Macaca fascicularis: one gene and its partners. The protein of the gene in region 1 interacts with the protein of each later gene in a pairwise test. Links are inferred from orthologs where the notes say so. Each region holds a gene or a part of one and is shown in the gene's direction. Other genes may lie near its edges. The genes, in order: TNIP2, NFKB1 and STK11.

Region 1 (6,853 bases):
GTCCAGGGTCTCCCATGGAGTCACAGTCAGTATGTCGGTGGGGACTACTGTCTTCTGAAGGCTTGACTAGCATCAGGGGATACAGTCCCAAGGTGGCTTCTTCACCGCAGTGGGCAAGTGGGTGCCGGCTGCTGCCATGAAGCCTCAGTTCCTTGCCACATGGACCTCTTCACAGGGCTACTTGACGATAGGGTGGGCGGCTTCCCCCAGAGCTCCGAAAGACGGGCAAGGCAGTAGCCATGATGTCTCGTGGGAGCTAGCTGCAGAAGTCACACTCCATCATTCCTCCAGTACCCTCTTAGTTACACAGGTCAGGCCTCTCCAGTGGATTGGAGGGGACTACACAGGAGCATGGATATTGGAGCGGGGGGGTCCTCTTTGGAGGCTGGCTACCCCAGTTATATGTACCTATTTGAAATCCAAAGATCCTCATTTCTAAAATACACCTGGCGGCCTGGCGTGGTGGCTTATGCCTAGAATCCCAGCACTTTGGGAGGCTGAGGCGGGCGGATCACTTGAGGCCAGGAGTTCGAGACCAGCCTGACCAAAATGGTGAAACCCCGTCTCTACTAAAAATACAAAAAATTAGCCAGGCGTGGTGGCGGGTGCCTGCAATCCCAGCTAATTGGGAGGCTGAGGTGGGAGAATCGCTTGAACCTGGGAGGCGGAGGTTGCAGTGAGCCGAGATCATGCCACTGCACTCTAGCCTGAGCGGCAGATTAAGACTCCGTCTAAAATAAATAAATAAATAAATAAATACAAGACAAGACAATACACCTGATCCCAAGGCTGTTGGATGAGAGACTGTGGATTGTAAAATGCACCTTTTACAGTTGAGGCAGAGTCTCAAGGTCACTGGAATGACCTGCCCCAGGCCACACATTAGCCTCTAACAGCTCTGGGTCCAGTTTTGCTTTTTCCACCGGTGCCCCAGCCAATCAGTTGGCATTGTTCGTAACCATAGCCACGTGAACTGTGGGCTTGCCGGGCAGCAGCCACTGCACTGGACAAGCGTTTCATGCACACTCCACCCTCTAGTCCCCACAACGTCCAACCAGGTAGGGTGGGCACTCGCTCTGCCCTTCCTTCTGCTGAGAGGAAGCCCAGGCTCTGATGGGTAAGAAGGAGCCTTCCAAAGCAAAGCCAGGTCTGTGTAGCCCAATGTCCAGGCCATAAACACTTGCCTGGCTCTGGCTTTGCTTATAGGCTTGTCTGATTCTACAAGCTTGTGGGTGTTTTCCCAGGCTCAGCCCAGGCTTGGCTGTGGATCACATAAAGGAAGAAAGTCAAGATGCTGCTCAGGGGCGGAGCCTGTGGGCAAGCGCGCACACAGGGAAGACCCCTGCCCGATCCCGAGTCGGGAACCTTAGAAAGACCCCATGTGTGCTTGGGCATCATTGTGGGGAAGACTGGGCTGTGGAAAAACACTAGTGTTTGGGAATTTTGGGGAAGGAAAGCGATGGACAAGTGAAAGGGTGGGAAGGGGCTGGTTTCCTGCTGCCTCTGCTCTAAGAACACTATCTAGCAGGAAGGTTGTCCCGCGGGCCCATACTAGCCACCTCACAAAGCAGCGTCTGCGGTGGCTCACGCCTGTAATCCCAGCACTTAGGGAGGCCGAGGCCAACGGATCATCTGAGGTCAGGAGTTCAAGACCAGCCTGGCCAACATGGTGAAACACCATCTATACAAATAATACAAAAAAATTAGCCGGGCGTGGTGGCGGGCGCCTGTAATCCCAGCTACTTGGGAGGCTGAGGCAGGAGAATCGCTTGAACCCGGGAGGCGGAGGTTGCAGTGAGCCGAGATCGCGCCATTGCAGTCCAGCCTGGATGACAGAGCAAAAGTCGTCTCATTTAAAAAAAAAAAAAAAAGGAAAGGAAAAAGAAAGCGGCGAGTGGAGCAGGGGGTTGGAGCTCTCTCTGAACTCAGTGTCCCCAGGTGACGAAACGCATGACACGTGCTTGGTGCGCTGCGAGCTCAGCTCAGCTCCTGGAGTTTCTGTGGCTCCTGTGGCCACAACGCCTGCAGCCTCGCGGGCAGATTCAGACCCACACTCAGCCCCAGCGCTTGGGGCTTGTCTTTACGCCCTTCTTTCCATCAGAGGCTGATGAATTCCCAACCCTGGGCCATGGGCTGAGTTCGACTCTCCCACAACTCCTCAGAGGCGCGTGTTTGGGGCCACTGGAATAAGCCCAGCACGAGCTGGGGTGTGGACAGCCTCCGGGGCAAGGCCGACTCTCCTGGGCTGCTGCGGACGGCAGGGGCGGGGCCGGGCTGTCGGCGGTAGGAGGGGCGGGGCCGGGCGAGAAGGGTCGGGGTGGGCTGCCGTTGGGCGGGGCTGCGCGGCGGAGGGCGGGGCCGGGCTGCGGTGGGTGGGCGGGGCGCACCGGGGAAAGTTCCGGGAAGGGCGGCAGCCGGCGGGGCCTGGGCGCGGAAGTTGCCGGCGGCCGCGCGGCCTCCCGGGCAGGCTTACAGCCATGTCCCGGGACCCGGGGTCGGGCGGCTGGGAGGGGACCCCGCGCGCAGCCGCCGCGCTCTGCACCCTGTACCACGAGGCCGGACAGCGGCTGCGCCGCCTGCAGGACCAGCTGGCCGCCCGCGACGCCCTCATCGCTCGCCTCCGCGCCCGCCTGGCCGCGCTGGAGGGGGACACCGCGCCGTCCCTGGTGGACGCGCTGCTGGAGCAGGTTGCGCGCTTCCGGGAGCAGCTTCGGCGGCAGGAGGGCGGCGCCGCAGAGGCCCAGATGCGCCAGGTACGAGGGCGGGCACCAGAGGGGCTGCGGGCGCCAGAGTGCGTGTGGCGGCCGCCGGGTCTTGGGTGGGTGAGCGGGCCCCGGGTCCTGACGGGTTGAGGGAGCACCAGGTGCTGGGTGTGAGGGGCCTGGGAAGTGAGGGGGTGCCGGGTCCTGGGTGGGTCAGCGGGCCCCGGGTCTTGAGGGGTTGAGGGAGTACCGGGTCCTGGGGTTGAGCGCGCCCGGGGTCCTGAAGGGTTGAGGGGCCACCAGGTCCTGGGGGATTGAGGGGGTGCTAGGTCCTGGAGTTGAGGGGGCACCAGGTCCTGGGGGATTGAGGGGGTACCGGGTCCTGGGGTTGAGGGGGTACCAGGTCCTGGGGGGTGAGGGGGCCCTGGAGGGTGAGGCAGCCACGGTGGGTGAGGGGGCCACAGGTCTTGGTGGGGTGAGGGGGCTCTGGGTTTTGAGGGGGTTGAGGAAGTGCTGGGTCCTAGGGAGTGAGGGGTGCTGGGTCCTGGGGCGGAGAGGGGGCACTGGGTCCTGGGGGTGATAGGGCAACAGGTCTTGGAGGGTGAGGGGACCCTGGGTCCTAGGGGAGAGACGGGGACCAGGTCCTGAGAGGGGTAATGGGACACCACGGGCTGAGGTGTGCTGGGTCCTGGAGGGTGAAGGGGTGCCGGGTCCTGGGGGGTTTGAGGGGGGACCAGGTCCTGGTGGAGGTGAGGGGGCTCTGGGGCCTGGAGGGGGTGAGGGTGCCAGGTTCTGAAGGGGATAAAGGAATGCTGGAAACTGGGAGGTTGGGAGGGCACTGGGTCCTGGGGGATTGGTGAGGAGGAGGCGGCCCTGGGTTCTGAGGAGGGGGGTTGGTGCAGTTCTTGGGTTCTGTGTGTGCTGTGTAGGTTCAGGTTGGTTCTTAGGGGTGTTTTGAAGTTCGTGTGTGGGAACACATTCTGAGGGTTGTGTGTGTGTAGTGTGTATGCTGTGTGTGTGTGTGTGTGTAGTGTGTATGTTCCGGTTGGTTCTTAGGGGTGTTTTGAGGTGTGTGTGGAGGAGACACATTCTGAGGGGTGTGTATGGTGTGTATGGTGTGTGTGTGTGTATGGTGTGTGTGTATGGTGTGTATTATGGTGTGTACGGTGTGTGTGTGTATGGTGTGTGTGTATTATGGTGTGTATGGTGTGTGTGTATGGGGGGTGTGTGTGTATGGTGTGTATGGTGTGTGTGTATGGTGTGTGTGTATTGTGTGTATGGTGTGTATGTGTATGGTGTGTGTGTATTATGGTGTGTATGGTGTGTGTGTGTATGGGGTGTGTGTGTGTATGGTGTGTATGGTGTATATGGTGTGTGTGTGTATGGTGTGTGTGTATTGTGTGTATGGTGTGTGTATGGGGTGTGTGTGTATGGTGTGTATGGTGTGTGTTTGTATGGGGTGTGTGTGTATGGTGTGTATGGTGTATGGTTTGTATGGTGTGTGTGTGTATGGGTGTGTGTATGGTGTGTATTGTGTGTGTATGGTTGTGTGTATGGTGTGTGTGTATGGTGTGTGTGTATGGTGTGTGTGGTGTGTGTGTATGGTGTGTGTGTGTATGGTGTGTGTGTATGGTGTGTATGGTGTGTGTGTATGGTGTGTATGGTGTGTATGGTGTGTGTGTATGGTGTGTGTGTATGGTGTGTATGGTGTGTGTGTGTATGGTGTGTGTGTATGGTGTGTGTATGGTGTGTATGGTGTATATGGTGTGTGTGTGTATGGTGTGTGTGTATGGTGTGTATGGTGTGTATGGTGTGTGTGTATGGTGTGTGCGTATGGTGTGTATGGTGTATATGGTGTGTGTGTGTATGGTGTGTGTGTATTGTGTGTATGGTGTGTGTATGGGGTGTGTGTGTATGGTGTGTATGGTGTGTGTATGGGGTGTGTGTGTGTATGGTGTGTATGGTGTATGGTGTGTATGGTGTGTGTGTATGGTGTGTATTGTGTGTGTATGGTTGTGTGTATGGTGTGTGTGTGTATGGTGTGTGTGTGTGGTGTGTGTGTATGGTGTGTGTATGGTGTGTGTGTATGGTGTGTATGGTGTGTGTGTATGGTGTGTGTGGTGTGTGTGTATGGTGTGTATGGTGTGTGTATGGTGTGTGTATGGTGTGTGTGGTGTGTGTGTATGGTGTGTGTGGTGTGTGTGTATGGTGTGTGTGGTGTGTTTGTGTATGGTGTGTATGGTGTGTGTATGGTGTGTATGGTGTGTGTGTATGGTGTGTATGGTGTGTGTGTGTATGGTGTGTGTGTGTATGGTGTGTATGGTGTGTGTGTGTATGGTGTGTGTGTATGGTGTATATGGTGTGTGTGTATGGTGTGTGTGTGTATGGTGTGTATGGTGTGTGTGTGTATGGTGTGTGTGTATGGTGTATATGGTGTGTGTGTATGGTGTGTATGGTGTGTGTAGGGTGTGTGTGGTGTGTGTGTATGGTGTGTGTGTGTATGGTGTGTATGGTGTGTATGGTGTGTGTGGATGGTGTGTGGATGGTGTGTATGGTGTGTGTGTATGGTGTGTATGGTGTGTGTGTGTATGGTGTGTGTGTGTATGGTGTGTGTGTATGGTGTGTATGGTGTGTGTGTATGGTGTGTGTATGGTGTGTGTGTGTATGGTGTGTGTGTATGGTGTGTATGGTGTGTGTGCATGGTGTGTGTGTATGGTGTGTGTATGGTGTGTGGTGTGTGTGTACGGTGTGTGTGTATGGTGTGTATGGTGTGTGTGTATGGTGTGTGTGTATGGTGTGTGTGTATGGTGTATATGATTGTGTGTGTATGGTGTGTATGGTGTGTGTGTATGGTGTGTGTGTATGGTGTATATGATTGTGTGTGTATGGTGTGTATGGTGTGTGTGTATGGTGTGTGTATGGTGTGTGTGTGTATGCTGTGTGTATGGTGTGTGTATGGTGTGTATGGTGTGTGTGTATAGTGTATATTGTGTGTGTGTATGGTGTGTATGGTGTGTGTGTGTATGATGTGTGTGTATGGTGTGTGTATGTGTGTGTATGGTGTGTGTGTGTATGGTGTGTATGGTGTGTGTGTGTATGGGTGTATGGTGTGTGTGTATGGTGTGTGTGTATGGTGTGTGTGTATGGTGTTTATGGTGTGTGTGTATAGTGTGTATGGTGTGTGTGTATGGTGTTTATGGTGTGTGTGTATGGTGTGTATGGTGTGTGTGTATGTGTGTGTATGGTGTGTGTGTGTATGGTGTGTGTGTATGGTGTGTGTGTGTATGGTGTGTATGGTGTGTGTGTGTGTATGGTGTGTATGGTGTGTGTGTGTGTATGGTGTGTGTGTGTGTGTATCGTGTATATGGTGTGTGTATGGTGTGTATGGTATATATGTGTGTATGGCATGTGTGTATGGTGTGTGTGTGTAGTGTTTATGGTGTGTGTGTGTATGGTGTGTGTGTGTATGGTGTGTGTATGGTGTGTGTGTGGTGTGTGTGTGTGTATGGTGTGTGTATGGTGTGTATGTGTGTATGGTGTGTGTGTGTGTATGGTGTGTGTGTGTATGGTGTATATGGTGTTTATGTGTATGGTGTGTGTGTATGGTGTGTGTATAGTGTGTGTGTATGGTGTGTGTGTGTATGGTGTGTGTATAGTGTGTGTGTATGGTGTGTGTGTATGGTGTGTGTATTGTGTGTATGTGGTGTGTGTGTGTATGGTGTGTGTGTATAGTGTGTATGGTGTGTGTATGGTGTGTGTGTGTGCACATATGTGTATCTTGGGTCCAAGGTCAATGTACTCATATTGTGTTCTAGAGTCCCTTACAGCCCTCACCCATACATGTGTCTTTCACTAGTGGCGCTTCAACTCTATGCTGGGAGCAATGGCAAATGCAGCCCCTGTGTCTGATAATGGACACAAATCCTAGGCTGGGTGCAGTGGCTCACACCTGTAATCCCAGCACTTTGGGAGGCCAAGGTGGGTGGGTCACAAGGTTGGGAGATCGAGACCATCCTGACTAACACGGTGAAACCCCGTGTCTACTAAAAATACAAAAAAGTAGCCAGGCATGGTGGACGCCTGTAGTCCCAGCTACTCGGGAGGCAGAGGCAGGAGAATGGTGTGAACCTGGGAGGTGGAGCATGCAGTGA
Region 2 (6,888 bases), about 110 Mb from region 1:
GCCAAAAAGAGTAAACTGAAGGCTTTTACAGTTTTATCTGCTGTGCTGCATGGAATTACATCCCCCCAAAACGTATGTTCAAGTCCTAACCACAGGTACCCGTGAACATGAGTTTATTTGGAACTACGATCTTTGCAAATGTTATCAAGTTAAGATGAGGTAATACTGGATTGGGGTGGGCTCTAAATCCAATGACTGGTGTCTTCATAAAAGAAAGGTGAGGGAGATTTGAATATAGGGACACAAAGGAAACACAGGGAAGGAGACCATGTGACCATGTAGGCACAGAATGAAGTGTTGCACCCAAGCCAAGAATGGCAAGGATTGCTGGAGCCACCAGAAGCTAGGAGGCGGCAAAGGATTCCTCCCTAGAGTCTTCAAGGGAGCATGGCCTTGATGGCACCTTGAGTTCAGAATTTTAGGCTCCAGGACTGTGACAGAATAAATTCCCATTGTAAGTCATTCAGCCGGTGGTAACTTTTTACAGCAGCCCCAGGAAACTAACATGCCTGCTCAACACCCTACCCTCAATTTTAAGTTCATTTTATGGAATCATTTTGAGTTTGGAGTCTGATTTAATCCCTTTCAGTAATTAACACTCTTCATTTTTTACCCCCAAATATGTCACACTGGCTCTACTCTTGTAACAATTCTATTTACCTATCTTTTGGTAATGGGGCTGCCACTCCTTGCAGAATGAAAAGTAGAGCGTGTATGCTCATACCTCCCAAAGTGGGGGAAAATCCACACCCCTTACACTTTGTTTCATGGGAACTTGCAGACTTCTTACTCATGTCACTGGCAAAAATCATTTTACATAAACTATATTTCAATCTCCTATACTATTGGCATAATTTCTAATCTGTCCCATAAATAACAACACATAATTTCTTTCTTTCTTTTTGAGAAGGAGTCTCGCTCGGTCTCGCCCAGGCTGGAGTGCAGTAGCACAATCTCGGCTCACTGCAACCTCTGCCTCCGGAGTTCAAGCGATTCTCCTGCCTCAGCCTCCCAAGTAGCTGGGATTACAGGCGCCTGCCACCAAGCCCGGCTAATATTTTGTATTTTTAGTAGAGACGGGGTTTCCCCATATTGGTCAGGCTGGTCTCCAACTCCTGACCTCAGGTGATCCACCTGCCTCGGCATCCCAAAGTGCTGGGATGACAGGCGTGAGCCACCGCACTCGGCCCACAAAATTTCTTAAAAAGTCGTTGTGTTCAGTCTTTATGGATCCTCTGAATTCCACCTGCTCAGCCTCCAGGAGCTAAATGAGATCGCTTAAAGGTCAACTGTTGGGTGCCTCCAAGGTCGCCCCAGAGGCTCCTGTCATAGGCAATCAAATGAATCTCTGTTTTTACTTTTGGTTGTGCGCGTATGTGTGGTTTTTTTGTTTGTTTTGTTTTGTTTTTTGTTTTTGCCAGAAAAACACTCCACCAAGAAGGTTTTTATAACCTAGTGGAGGAGGAGGACGGAGAGTGGGCACAAAACGACTAGGATGAACATGCTATAAGGAATCTGAATGCCACTGCACTATTGCCTGGTAAGGACCTGATTACCGATATTTTAAAGCTAAGCTTTCAGTTGTCACTCGACCCACTAGTGAAACAATGAGCTCTAAAATATATGTTTCAGCTCAAGATTTCTTATGTGGGGAGGTAATGCAACCCAAGGTATCCCCAGCCTGTGCCTAGTACAGCGCCCAGCACTAAAGCAGCTCAGATGCCAGTGAACGGTGGTCACTGGCAGGCCTGTCAATGGGTGCCAGTAGCGGTCTCTTCAGAGAAAAAGAAAACTCCCCTCTGCCAGATCAGTATTTTATGAGCTGTAAACCAAAACCATTGCTACCACCATCACTATAATTCTATCCACAGTAATTATCATAAAGGCCTAACAATGCCTTGTAGATGAATATTGAGTAACTGCCCTATAACGAGGATATTTAAGACCGCACCAAAAACCAGTAGAGGGTTATACTTTACTGGACACAAGTCGGTTATGATAACGAAATTCTAGTTTAATCTGTGAAGAGATCTGAATGTAACCGAGACACATTTAAATGGAATATACAGATGAGCTTTATTTTTATATCTGGCATGCTTGGATCCATGCCGACCCTCCAGCTGCTCGGGCCTGCCCTTAGGGGCTATGGACCGCATGACTCTATCAGCGGCACCGCCGCCGCCTCCGCGCCGCCTGTGTTCCCGGACCACTGGGCCCGGCTGGCGCTTCCTGGGGGCGTCCCTACCGGCTCCAGCCCTCGGGATTTGGGAGCGCCCGGCTAGGAAGCCAGAGTCACGCCGGGGATCCCGGCGTCCAGGCCGCCTAACGCGCGCCCCTCGCCCGGCGCCCCGAAGCGGCCCCGAGGGGCGGGAGCCCAACCGAGCAACGAGGCCGGGCCGGGGGCGCACGGCCCCCAAAAGTGCGGGCTTCCCCCACCCCCGGCAGCGACCCCACCTCCCGCCCCCGCTGCGTGCGCGCGTGTGTCCGTCTGTCTGTATGCTCTCTCGACGTCAGTGGGAATTTCCAGCCAGGAAGTGAGAGAGTGAGCGAGAGAGAAAGAGAGAGAAGTGCACCAGCTAGCCGGGGCAGGAAGAGGAGGTTTCGCCACCGGAGCGGCCCGGCGACGCGCTGACAGCTTCCCCTGCCCTTCCCGTCGGTCGGGCCGCCAGCCGCCGCCGCCCTCGGCCTGCACGCAGCCGCCGGCCCCGCTCCCGGAGCCCAGCGCCGCCGAGGCCGCAGCCGCCCGGCCAGTAAGGCGGCGCCGCCGCCCGGCCACCGCGCGCCCTGCGCTTCCCTCCGCCCGCGCTGCGGACATGGCGCGGCGCTGACTGGCCTGGCCCGGCCCCGCCGCGCTACCGCTCGCCCCGACCCGCACCCGGGCCCGCTCGGGCTCCGGCCGGCCACCGCCTCTTCCCTCTCCAGCCCGCAGGCCCGCGCCGCCCAGGAGGGAGAGACCTGCGCCAGGAGGCCGAACGCGGACTCGCCACCAGGGTAAGCCAAACTCGGGCGAGTGGGGGCCCGGCAGGGGACGCGTGGCTCGAGTCCCGCCATCCAGCTCTCCGCACCCCCTCCAGCCCCACTCGGACTTCCTCATTCCTGCGCTAACCGCTGGGCTAGACCGTGGGAGGAGGTTGACAGTAGTGAGAGGCACATGGGATTGGCGACAGCGGGGTAAGGCACATCCGGACCTCGCAGGGGCTAGTCGGCCGAAGGGCCGTGGCTGCCCGGCGCTCATTTCTCTTCACGTCCCTCCGCGGGGTGGGAATGCGAATCGGAGGGGAACTCTTACAAACTTTTAAAATCCCCCAACCCCAGCCCCAGCTGGGGGATAGTGAGAAGGTTGAGGTGCGCTGCGGCGCGGAGGAGAGAGGGAAGGTGGTTGGTGCAGTGCAGAACCAGATTTCACCTAAGGGCGTTCCATGAAATGAAAGAAGAAGTGCTTGTCAGTCCTCCTGGCAGGGAAAGCCCTCTCCAGCTCCCCAGAATTGAATAGGAGAGTCTATTCATCCCTCTCCTACTTCTAAAAGAAGCCTGGCCCTCTCTCTGTCTCTTTTTCTCTCCCTCCCCCCACCCCTCCGTACACACACACACACACACACACACACACACACACACACACACACGATATAGTCACCTGCTATAGGACTTGATTCTGATCCTCTGGGGCCTGGCATTTGAGAGAGAAAATAAATTACCTAGTTGGATACTTAGAGCACTTTTTAGACTTGATTATGTAAAATTCTTGGACAGTGCCACCATGTATTATGCATGACTTCTGAAACAAAAACAATGTAAAAACAAAGCCTATCCTAAATGTAAGTTTTTCTATGGTCCTTAAAAACAGACACCAGGGAATGTTTGCCCTGACTTACTGGTCTATCCTGAAACTGAAATGGGACTTAATGATACAGGATTTAATTATCAAGATTTGAGACATTTTCATGGACTTTGTTAAGTAGAGGTTTTCAGCATTACAGTTTATGAAATAACCATATTTAACTCAAAGATTTTGTTATAAAGCTTATAATCTGAAAAAATGCTTATGGTATTACTAGAACATTTAATAACTCTGGCATCAAAATATTCTACACACTGGTGATCTTTAGTAAATACTAAAGGTTAGGGTCAAGATGTTCAATAATTTTCTTCTAGCAGAATCCCACAACTGAATATTGTCAAGCAGTTTAAACTGCATTCGTGTTTGTTAAAACTTTAAAAGGGAAACTTAAAATTGAAGTATGTTGTTTTTCTGATTTTAATTTTGTGCTTTCTAGAGATGAATCCTTTTACTGCTTGAGGCACTATGGGAATTATGTGTTTAAATGTATGTATTTAAATTTGAAGCAGTGTACTTTTTTCAGTTTATAAACTTGGGAAGACAGGAAATGAAAAGATTTATTTCCTGTAGAATTTTACGTTCATGATTTAATTGAATTGCTGAAATGAAAAGAACATATACGATGAATGGAGACTTGGAATCTGAGATTATTCATCCATATTGATACACCTGCAATTCCTAAATGCCCTCCCCTGCTTGTTTAGATAAAATGTCTTCCTGGTCTGCAACCTACTGGACAAACTTGAACACAAAGGAACACACGTTTTATGTACATTTAATACTGGAACCGAAAAGCTGCTTGCAGTGAAAAGCAAACCACTTCTAAACTCTTTGACACTTTTTAAGGAAAATAGTATAATCGTTTTGGGGTTGGTGGTGATTTGAAAATCTTTTATCTTTTTTTCTGAAATTTCATTCTTACGTTCGTCGTTGGCACTCACTTGTGCTGAGTAAATGCCCCTGTTTTTCAAACCCAGATAGTAAATACTGGGGTATACATACAAAAATAGTCCTTCCCCTTTGTAAGCATTGCTTTGATCTTTGCACTTCCTTTTTACTCTACCTCTTAAACAAGATCTGTGATGACTGAGTTGATTAAAGCACAATTAATCTTGAAATAGGAAGAATTTTAGATTTAGTGATCATATTCCTTACATTTCTGTTGTTACTGTTCCTGGAAACAAATTGAAGTAGTGTGAGAAACTAATTATTTATGTAGGTTGTTTTAGCTACACTTTTAGACTTGCAGATAATTGATTAAGTAAGTTACTACCTTGACTTTCAGGGATTGCTCATTGTGGTAGATACGAGGTCTAGATAGGGAATTGGCAGCTACATGAATGTTGGACTATCATTCCATCAGCAAGACCTTATTTTTACCTAATTTATGAGAGGTATTTCTCTCTTCAGAAGAGGTGAAAGTTCTGGCTTCTGAGGGGAAGTGATTACTTCATAACCTTCAATTGGTTTGAACTTGGGAGAAGTAAGAAAAGTAGTCGATATTTTCAAACAATAAAATAATTGTGTCTGAGTTGCTGTATGGATTTTTCATGAAGTACTCAAAAATGTCATCTTTTTCATCTTCAGGTCTTAATAGATGTGCTCTTCTGAGCATAGAATTGACTGCAGTAGGAAGTGTATCTGGAAATGCACAGTACTGTTGTATAACCAATAGAGTAAATACTCAGATTATGCGCTTCTAGTCCACAGATTGATCAGAAATCACATTAACAGGAATGGATGTCTATGAATGAATGGCTATGCAAAATTTCTCATTAGCTTTTTTACTTTTAGTAGGAAGTTTGTTTTATTTGGTTGGTCTCTTGGTTTTCTGTTTACAATGTGAATTGTCTACAGTAGTGGGATTGTTATATTAGAAGAGAAGGAGAAGGCAAAATAGAAGTTAGTGCCAGAGGATATGTTAAGATATGCTGCTCCTACATCTACGTTTGTGTCTAATCAGCGTTAATTGATGACTACGTCTTGGTAACCAGTAGACCATACTGGAGCAATTTACTCTGCTTTTTGGGAATTAGTTCTCATTTGCACTCTTGCACTTCCCATGAATATTGAACTCACTTGCAGTGTTCTTAGAGGTGAGCAATAAACCATCAAGAGCATATGATATCTCTTTGAATTCTGTCACTACTTTGGAGACAGAGAGTTTGGAAGAACTGAAGCTACTCAGCCTCAGGGAGAAAGGTTTGAACATTTTGGCATAGTCCTGCAAGTCAATTTGGCTCCTTGACTGTGAATTTTTTTTAATCAAAAAAGATTAATATTTGAAACCACATAATTTGGTACAGTTAATAGTTCTGGTAACATAACCAAGCCTTTTATCTTTGTAATATTTCATTAATTAGTATCCAGTGCCTCACTTTTAGAAGAAAAAAAGAGAAAAAAGTAGTTAACATTCTTTTAATGATGATGAAATTGCTTCATACTTTTGGTCTCTGCTGTATTAGAGGTTGTTCCTGGGTGCAAATTAATATACTGTCTTTTACATTTCCGGAGGTTGTTGACCTGGCCTTGAAGATCAGCCAACAGTTTAGAAAATAAGTTGTGCAAATTGCATTGCTTCACCTCAGATAATTTAAAGCCTGACAGTTCTGTATAAAATAAGAGTCACATAAGATGCAATTTGTTAAAGATTATAGAAATCTCAGAAGATAGATTATGGATGAAAATATTTGTTTAATTTCGAGTACTAATAATAAAAATAGTGCATTTTACATTTTAAAAAGAAAACAATTTTTATTCTCATATTTTCTGTAGTAACTAATACAGATTTAATTATCAATAATACAAATTTCATCTGCTTTAATTTATTGCCTGTTTTTGAAATTAGAATAATGATATATTTGGTTTAATTATCCATTACTAATTGCCTTATTATTTTTCATTCATCTTTCACCATTAATCCAGAAATAGCTTCTCTTTTGACCCATGCCTTCAGTAGATATCAACAGATTTGAATTCATCTATGGATCCTATTAGTTTAAACTGTGAAAAATTTTGACTGCTTAAGCTTTAAAAAAGAATTTATATAT
Region 3 (6,954 bases), on another chromosome or scaffold:
TATTTTTAGTAGAGACGGGGTTTCACCATGTTGGCCAGGCTGGTCTCAAACTCCTGACCTTGTGATCTGCCCGCCTCGGCCTCCCAAAGTGCTGGGATTACAGGCATGAGCCACAGTACCCAGCCTGAGAAAATACTTTTTAAACACGCAGGTTGGCCGGGTGTGGTGGCTCATGCCTGTAATCCCAGCACTTTGGGAGGCCGAGGTCAGCAGATCAGCTGAGGTCGGGAGTTTGAGACCAGCCTGACCATCACAGTGAAACCCTGTCTCTACTAAAAATACAAAAAAAAAAAAAAAAAAAAAAAAGAGAGCCAGGCGTGGTGGTGGGTGCCTGTAATCCCAGCTACTTGGGAGGCTGAGGCAGGAAAATCACTAGAACCCTGGAGAAGGAGGTTGCAGTGAGCCGAGATCACGCTATTGCACCCTAGCCTGGGCAACAAGAACGAAACTCCGCCTCAAAAAAAAAAAAAAAAGATGCAGGTTGTAGTTTTTCAATGGGCTACTACATGCAGTTAGAGTTTACAGCTTCTGATGTTGAGTGTCCCTGTGTGTGTGTGTGTGTGTGTATAATATATATATATATATTTTTTTGAGACAGAGTCTTGCTCTTGTCCCCCAGGCTGGAGTGTGATGCCACAATCTCAGCTCACTGCAACCTCTGCCTCCCGGATTCAAACGATTCTCCTGCTTCAGCCTCCCAAGTGGCTGGGATTACAGGCGTGCGCCACCACGCCCGGCTACCTTTGTATTTTTAGTAGAGATGGGGTTTCACCATGTTGGCCAGGCTGGTCTTGAACTCTTGAGCTCAGCTGATCCACCCGCCTTGGCCTCCCAAAGCGCTGGGATTACAGGCGTGAGCCACCACGACCTGCGTAATGTCCCTAAATATTTAATGGGTTTTGTTTTTTTTTTTTTTGAGAGGGAGTCTCGCGCTGTCGCCCAGGCTGGAGTGCAGTGGCCGGATCTCAGCTCATTGCAAGCTCCGCCTCCCGGGTTTGCGCCATTCTCCTGCCTCAGCCTCCCAAGTCGCTGGGACTACAGGTGCCCGCCACCTCGCCCGGCTAGTTTTTTGTATTTTTTAGTAGAGACGGGGTTTCACTGTGTTAGCCAAGATGGTCTCGATCTCCTGACCTCGTGATCCGCCCGTCTCGGCCTCCCAAAGTGCTGGGATTACAGGCTTGAGCCACCGCGCCCGGCCATTTAATGGGTTTTTAAAAATGTCTTGTGTATGGCAGCACACCAGACTTGTAGGAATTAGTATCAGTAGTAAATTTTTTTGTTTTTTAGGATGCTGCATTTTAAAAAATTTTGTAATAAAATTATGTATATCAAAAAAAAAAAAAAAGAAAAGAAATTCCGTGTGTAGTTTACACAGCACATCTCCATCCAGGCAGTTCAGAGAATCACTAGGAGGGGTTCTTGGAGGAGGTGGCTTTTGAGCCAAGAATTCATCTTCAAGGCTTCTTTCTATAATGGCCACCAAGTATTTCCTGAGTCAGTTCCATGTGTCCTGCAATTCTCTGAAGGGGCGTGGGACCTACGGATGCCACAGTTATCCAGCATATCCCCAGATTCCAAGAAGTTTGTGCATGAGCCAGCTATCAGTCCAGAAAACAGATATGAAAATAAGTCTGGGCTGGGGAGTGTTTACTCATCTTCTGTTTTCTGGGAGAGACCTTTTTTTTTTTTTTTTTTTTGAAACGGAGTTTCCCTCTTGTTGCCCAGGCTGTAGTGCAATGGCATGATCTTGGCTCACCGCAACCTCCGCCTCCCAGGTTCAAGCGATTCTCCTGCCTCAGCCTCCTGAGTAGTTGGGATTACAGACGTGCATCTGTAATCCCTACTAAAAATACAAAAATTAGCCGGGCATGATGGCGCACGCCTGTAATCCTAGCTACTCGGGAAGCCAAGGCAGGAGAATCGCTTGAACCTAGGAGGCGGAGGTTGCAGCAAGATAATTTGTTCCAGCAAAACAACGTGGCGCTAGTGCAGGAAAAGGTGGAAAGCACGGGGCTAGCACAGGAGGGTTCAATATTTTCAACCTTATCAAGCCGTATTTTGGCAACTCTTGTTTTTCACCAGAAGCCCCCGCTGGGCTCGTCCCAGCGCTGTCCTGAGGCTTCCCCCATGAGTTCCGACAGGGTAGAGGCCGCCCTGAGAGTTTCTCTCTCCCCTGGCCCAAGAGAGCCTTAAAACAAGGATTTTTGATTGGAATTGGCCACTTTGGGTTACTTTTTGACCCTTGACCTCCCCCCAAAGGGGGATCCGGGGGAGGGGCTCTGGCTGGGGTGGCCCCGCTCCTTCCAGGTCCGCGAGCCCAAGTTCTCGCCCACCAGGCTGAGCCCTCCCCGCGGCCGTTCAGCGAGGCCGTTGGCACCGGTGACCTACGACCCCCGTCCCCAGCCCCTCTGAGGTCGCAGCCGTGGCCTCCCCTCCCTATGCCTGCTTCCCGCCCCCTGCCCCTGACGGGCGTCTCCGCGGGCCGATGAGCGGGCCGTATCCACCCCTCGGGCGGGGCCAAGCGCGGACCAATCCCCGTTCGGGCGCCCGGCCGGGTCCAAACGCTCCAATCCTCAGCGGCGGTGGGGCGGGAAGGGGGGGCGGGGATTGCAGGTTCAGCCAACGGGTGGACACGTCGTCCTCGCGAGGAGGCGTGTCCTGCGGCCGGGCGTGCGGCGTCCGCGGCGGCGCAGGGAGGGGGAGGGAGGTAAACAAGATGGCGGCGGCGTGTCGAGCGCGGAAGGGGGAGGCGGCCCGGAGCGCCCGCGAGTGAGGCGCGGGGCGGCGAAGGGAGCGCGGGCGGCGGAACTTGCTGCCGCGGCCTTGGATGGGCTGGGCCCCCCTCGCCGCTCCGCCTCCTCCACACGCGCGGCGGCCGCGGCGAGGGGGACACGCCGCCCGGGGCCCGGCACCTTCGGGAACCCCCCGCCCCGGAGCCTGCGGCCTGTGCCGCTTCGGCCGCCCGGGGCCCCGTGGAGCCCCCGCCGCCGCGCCGTCCCGCGGACCGGACGCTGAGGGCACTCGGGGTGGGGCGCGCGCTCGGGCAGACGTTTGCGGGGAGGGGGCGCCTGCTTGGCCCCGGCGACCACCGCGGGGGTCGCGGGTCGGCTCGGGGGGTGCCCAGTGCGGGCCCTCGCGGGCGCCGGGCAGCGACCAGCCCTGAGCGGAGCTGTTGGCCGCGGCGGGAGGCTGCCCGGACGCCCCCACCCCCCCCGAACGCTCGCCTGGGCCGTCGGGAGTCGGCGCCTCCCGGGAGGTCCGCTCGGTAGTCCGCGGCGGAGCGTTTGCGGCTGGGACAGGCGGCGGGACCCGGGCGTCGCCGGAGACACCCCCAGGGAAGTTGGGCTCTCCAGGTGTGGGGGTCCCGGGGGGCAGCGACGTCGCGGACGCCGCCTGTGGGATGGGCGGCCCGGAGAAGACCGCGCTTGGCCGTGTTCACGCTTGTCCGTGGGCCTGAGGTCCCCGGAGGATGACCTAGTACTGAGAAGCCCCGGCCGGCCTCCCCAGGGCCTCCGAGGACAAAGTTGACCCCGACTGGGCCGTTCCCCAGTTCCGAGGCCCGGGACCCACTGCAACTCGCGTCTGAGCCGCCGTCCCGGACGCCCGGTGCCCGCGGGTCTGCAGACCCTGCACCGGGCTCGGACTCGCAGCCGGGACTGACGTGTAGGACAATCGTTTCTGTTGGAAGAAGGGTTTTTCCCTTCCTTTTGGGGTTTTTGTTGCCTTTTTTTCTTTCTTTTTTCTTTGTAAAATTTTGGAGAAGGGAAGTCGGAACACAAGGACCGCTCACCCGCGGACTCAGGGCTGGCGGCGGGACTCCAGGACCCTGGGTCCAGCATGGAGGTGGTGGACCCGCAGCAGCTGGGCATGTTCACGGAGGGCGAGCTGATGTCGGTGGGCATGGACACGTTCATCCACCGCATCGACTCCACCGAGGTCATCTACCAGCCGCGCCGCAAGCGGGCCAAGCTCATCGGCAAGTACCTGATGGGGGACCTGCTGGGGGAAGGCTCTTACGGCAAGGTGAAGGAGGTGCTGGACTCGGAGACGCTGTGCAGGAGGGCCGTCAAGATCCTCAAGAAGAAGAAGTTACGAAGGATCCCCAACGGGGAGGCCAACGTGAAAAAGTAAGTACGGCTTGCCGGGCAGGCCAGTCACTGTGCGGATGGTTCTGTCTTCCTTCCTTCTCTCCTCCCTCCCTCCCTTACTTCCTCTTAACACCCAAAGCTGGACCCGGCCGGCGCCTGTGTCCTCCGTGCCGGGGAGAGCTTGGTCGGAGGCCTGCGTTACGGACTTTCACTCAGGCAGAGCCAGTTGTCGTAGCGGGGCGTGTGTTTGCTTGGGCTCTTCTGCATGGACGCCCTGGTAGCGAAACCCTCCTGAGAAGGGAGCGGCCCCCAATCCCCTAAGTCTAGCCCCGTGGCTCCCCCAGCTGTCCAAGGAGCAGAGGCGCCCAGTGGAATGAGCCTGTGTTTATTTGGGCGCCGAGAGTTTGTGTGCGGCCGCCAGCAGGTTTTGTGCGCAATGTGTGGCGGTTGCCGGGGCCAGGAGAAAATGTGATTTGTTTATCCTGTCGGAGGGGAACCCTGGGCTGCCAAAAATAACTGCACTGGCTTATCAGCCAGCAGGAGGGAAACGTAGCCTTTCCTCATTTGCCAGGGATGTGACGCTGGAAGCATCCCTGGCCCCCAGCGCTGGCAGCCCTGCCCGAGGAGGACTGTGCCTCCCTCCCGAATTGCATCCGGAAGACCTTACTTTTCAAACTGACTTCTTCAGGCATGGGGCTGCCGCTGGGCATCCCGGACGCCTCTGCATCTGTGCGCGGAGAAGCTCCTACCGAGGGCAGCACGGGCCGGCCTGAGCCTCTCCCAGCTGGTGGGGGGGGGGGTGTCCCTTCCTTATCGCAACCAGACACGCTGCACCTGCCGTCGCCTGGCGGGCCCTGCCCAGGCCCTGCCCCTCTCCCAGCCCTCTTAACTTTCATAACTTTGCCTCCTGTTTCCAAGAAAGGACCTTATCTACTGGGCTAGGCCTCGAGGGACTGGCAGGGACACCCTGCACAGGGCACCATGACCTTGGAAGGAGGTCTGGGGAGGGGCCCCTGCCCTGTCTGCTCTCACCTCCCTCCTGCTCAGGGGCCCTGGGGCTCACATACTTCTTTTTTTTTTTTTTTTTTTTTTTTTGAGACCAGAGTTTCGCTCTTGTTGCCCAGGTTGGAGTGCAGTGGTGCGATCTTGGCTCGCTGCAATCTCCGCCCCCTGGGTTCAAGTGATTGTCTTGCCTCAGCCTCCCGAGTAGCTGGGATTACAGGCGCTTGCCACTGCACCTGGCTAATTTTTGTATTTTTTGTTTTTTTTTTAGTAGAGACAGGGTTTCACCATCTTGGCCAGGCTGGTCTTGCACTTCTGACTTTGTGATCCACCCGCCTCAGCCTTCCAAAGTGCTGGGATTAAAGGCGTGAGCCACCGCAACTAGCCAACACGCTTCTTAATCAGCATGCGGGCTGTGACATGCAGAAACCAGGGACACAGGCTCTGAAGTTTGTACTCCGGAGCTGGAGCAGTCGGGGTTAAATGGGAGCGGCTGGGAGGGGCGTGTTTCCACCAGGCCTTTCTGATATCTCAGCACCCAGTCTGGACGCGGGTAGAAGGCCAGTGCCTGGAGTAGGTGGAGCAGTTGCCCATGCCTGGTCTCTGTGAGATGGGTTGGTCAGGGGCTGGGCAGAGCCTGTGCTGGGGGTAGCAGGTGCCCTCTAAAGGGGCCAGTGATAGCCACTCTCCTAGCAGTCAGAAACCCATCCTTAGGGGTTGGGCACAGTGGCTCACACCTGTAATCCCAGCACTTCGGGAGGCTGAGGTGGGCAGATCACCTGAGGTAGGAGTTTGAGACCAGCCTGGCCAACGTGGTGAAACCCCGTCTCTACTAAAAATACAAAAGTTAGCCGGGTGTGGTGGTGCATGCCTGTAATCCCAGCTACTCAGGAGGCTGAGCCAGAAGAATTGCTGGAACCTGGGAGGTGGAGCTTGCAGTGACCAGAGATCCCACCATTGCATTCCAGCCTAGGAGACAGAGCGAGAGTCTGTCTCAAAAAAAAAAAAAAAAAAAAGTCTGGTTTGAGTTTTGACAAACGTATATGCAAGGTCAAAGGGAAGACAGATGCTGGGGGGAGGAAGCCTAACTGTGAGTGCGAGCCCCCTGCTTTCCTGAACAGTCAGTGCAGGAGGTCCCAGGAGCTCAGGTGAGCACCTGAATGGTAGGGCGGAGCCTGAGGGTCTTGGTGGAGACAGGCCAGAGGGTTGCAGGAACCCAGTCTCGCCCAGTGCATGGGAGAACAGGAGGGAACACTGAGGCAGGGAGGCAGAGGAGTTGGCAGGACCTGGACTGGACCTTGCGGTGCAGCTCCCCACAACTTATGACCCCACCGGCCTTGAAGTGAGTGATGCACCCTCACTCCTGTTCAGCGTCCAATTTCATCCTGGCCCTGAGTGCAACGGCTTTGCCCTTGTGAGGCCCCCTGGGCTGAGGGGTGAGCCCTGTCCCTTCCTGGCCACCATCTGCAGGGACCGTCTGCCATCAGGAGCCGCCCGGTTTGCAGCTGTGATTTAGGAGCCACTGCCACTCCTCCAGCCCCCTGGGTGCTGCCAGGGGGTCCCCCTACTCTGGGAGCTGGTGTGTCCTCACTGGAGGCTGCCACGTGCAGAGTGCCGTCAAGCAGAAGGGGTGTCCACTGCCCAGCCCTGAGGCCCAAGGCCTTGGCCAGCCTTGCTGCCAGCGCTGCAGGGAAAAAGCCTCCTTTGTGTGTGGGAAGCTTAATAAACTCTGCTCAGATTGTGTCTCGCAGCGAGTGTCTGGAACCTTCCAGACAAGCCTCAGGCGTCCGGTCCTCCAGGTGGTGTGGAAAGCGTGGGCAATCGCCAAGGGGGGTGGGTTGGGGCAGATGGAGCCAGCATGAGT

What was found.
Region 2: the proteins of TNIP2 (region 1) and NFKB1 interact in binary tests that used the Homo sapiens proteins (3 or more experiments, as listed by UniProt). The link is inferred for Macaca fascicularis from reciprocal best matches to the Homo sapiens genes TNIP2 and NFKB1.
Region 3: the proteins of TNIP2 (region 1) and STK11 interact in binary tests that used the Homo sapiens proteins (3 or more experiments, as listed by UniProt). The link is inferred for Macaca fascicularis from reciprocal best matches to the Homo sapiens genes TNIP2 and STK11.

The regions. Positions count from the first base shown.
Region 1 is NC_088379.1:2,929,819-2,936,671, reverse strand, and holds the start of TNIP2 (TNFAIP3-interacting protein 2), read left to right. Parts: upstream 1-2,400; 5' UTR 2,401-2,477; coding exon 2,478-2,753; intron 2,754-6,853. UniProt on the Homo sapiens protein: Inhibits NF-kappa-B activation by blocking the interaction of RIPK1 with its downstream effector NEMO/IKBKG.
Region 2 is NC_088379.1:108,166,965-108,173,852, forward strand, and holds the start of NFKB1 (nuclear factor NF-kappa-B p105 subunit), read left to right. Parts: upstream 1-2,536; 5' UTR 2,537-2,991; intron 2,992-6,888.
Region 3 is NC_088393.1:1,783,132-1,790,085, forward strand, and holds the start of STK11 (serine/threonine-protein kinase STK11), read left to right. Parts: upstream 1-2,691; 5' UTR 2,692-3,837; coding exon 3,838-4,127; intron 4,128-6,954. UniProt on the Homo sapiens protein: Tumor suppressor serine/threonine-protein kinase that controls the activity of AMP-activated protein kinase (AMPK) family members, thereby playing a role in various processes such as cell metabolism, cell polarity, apoptosis and DNA damage response.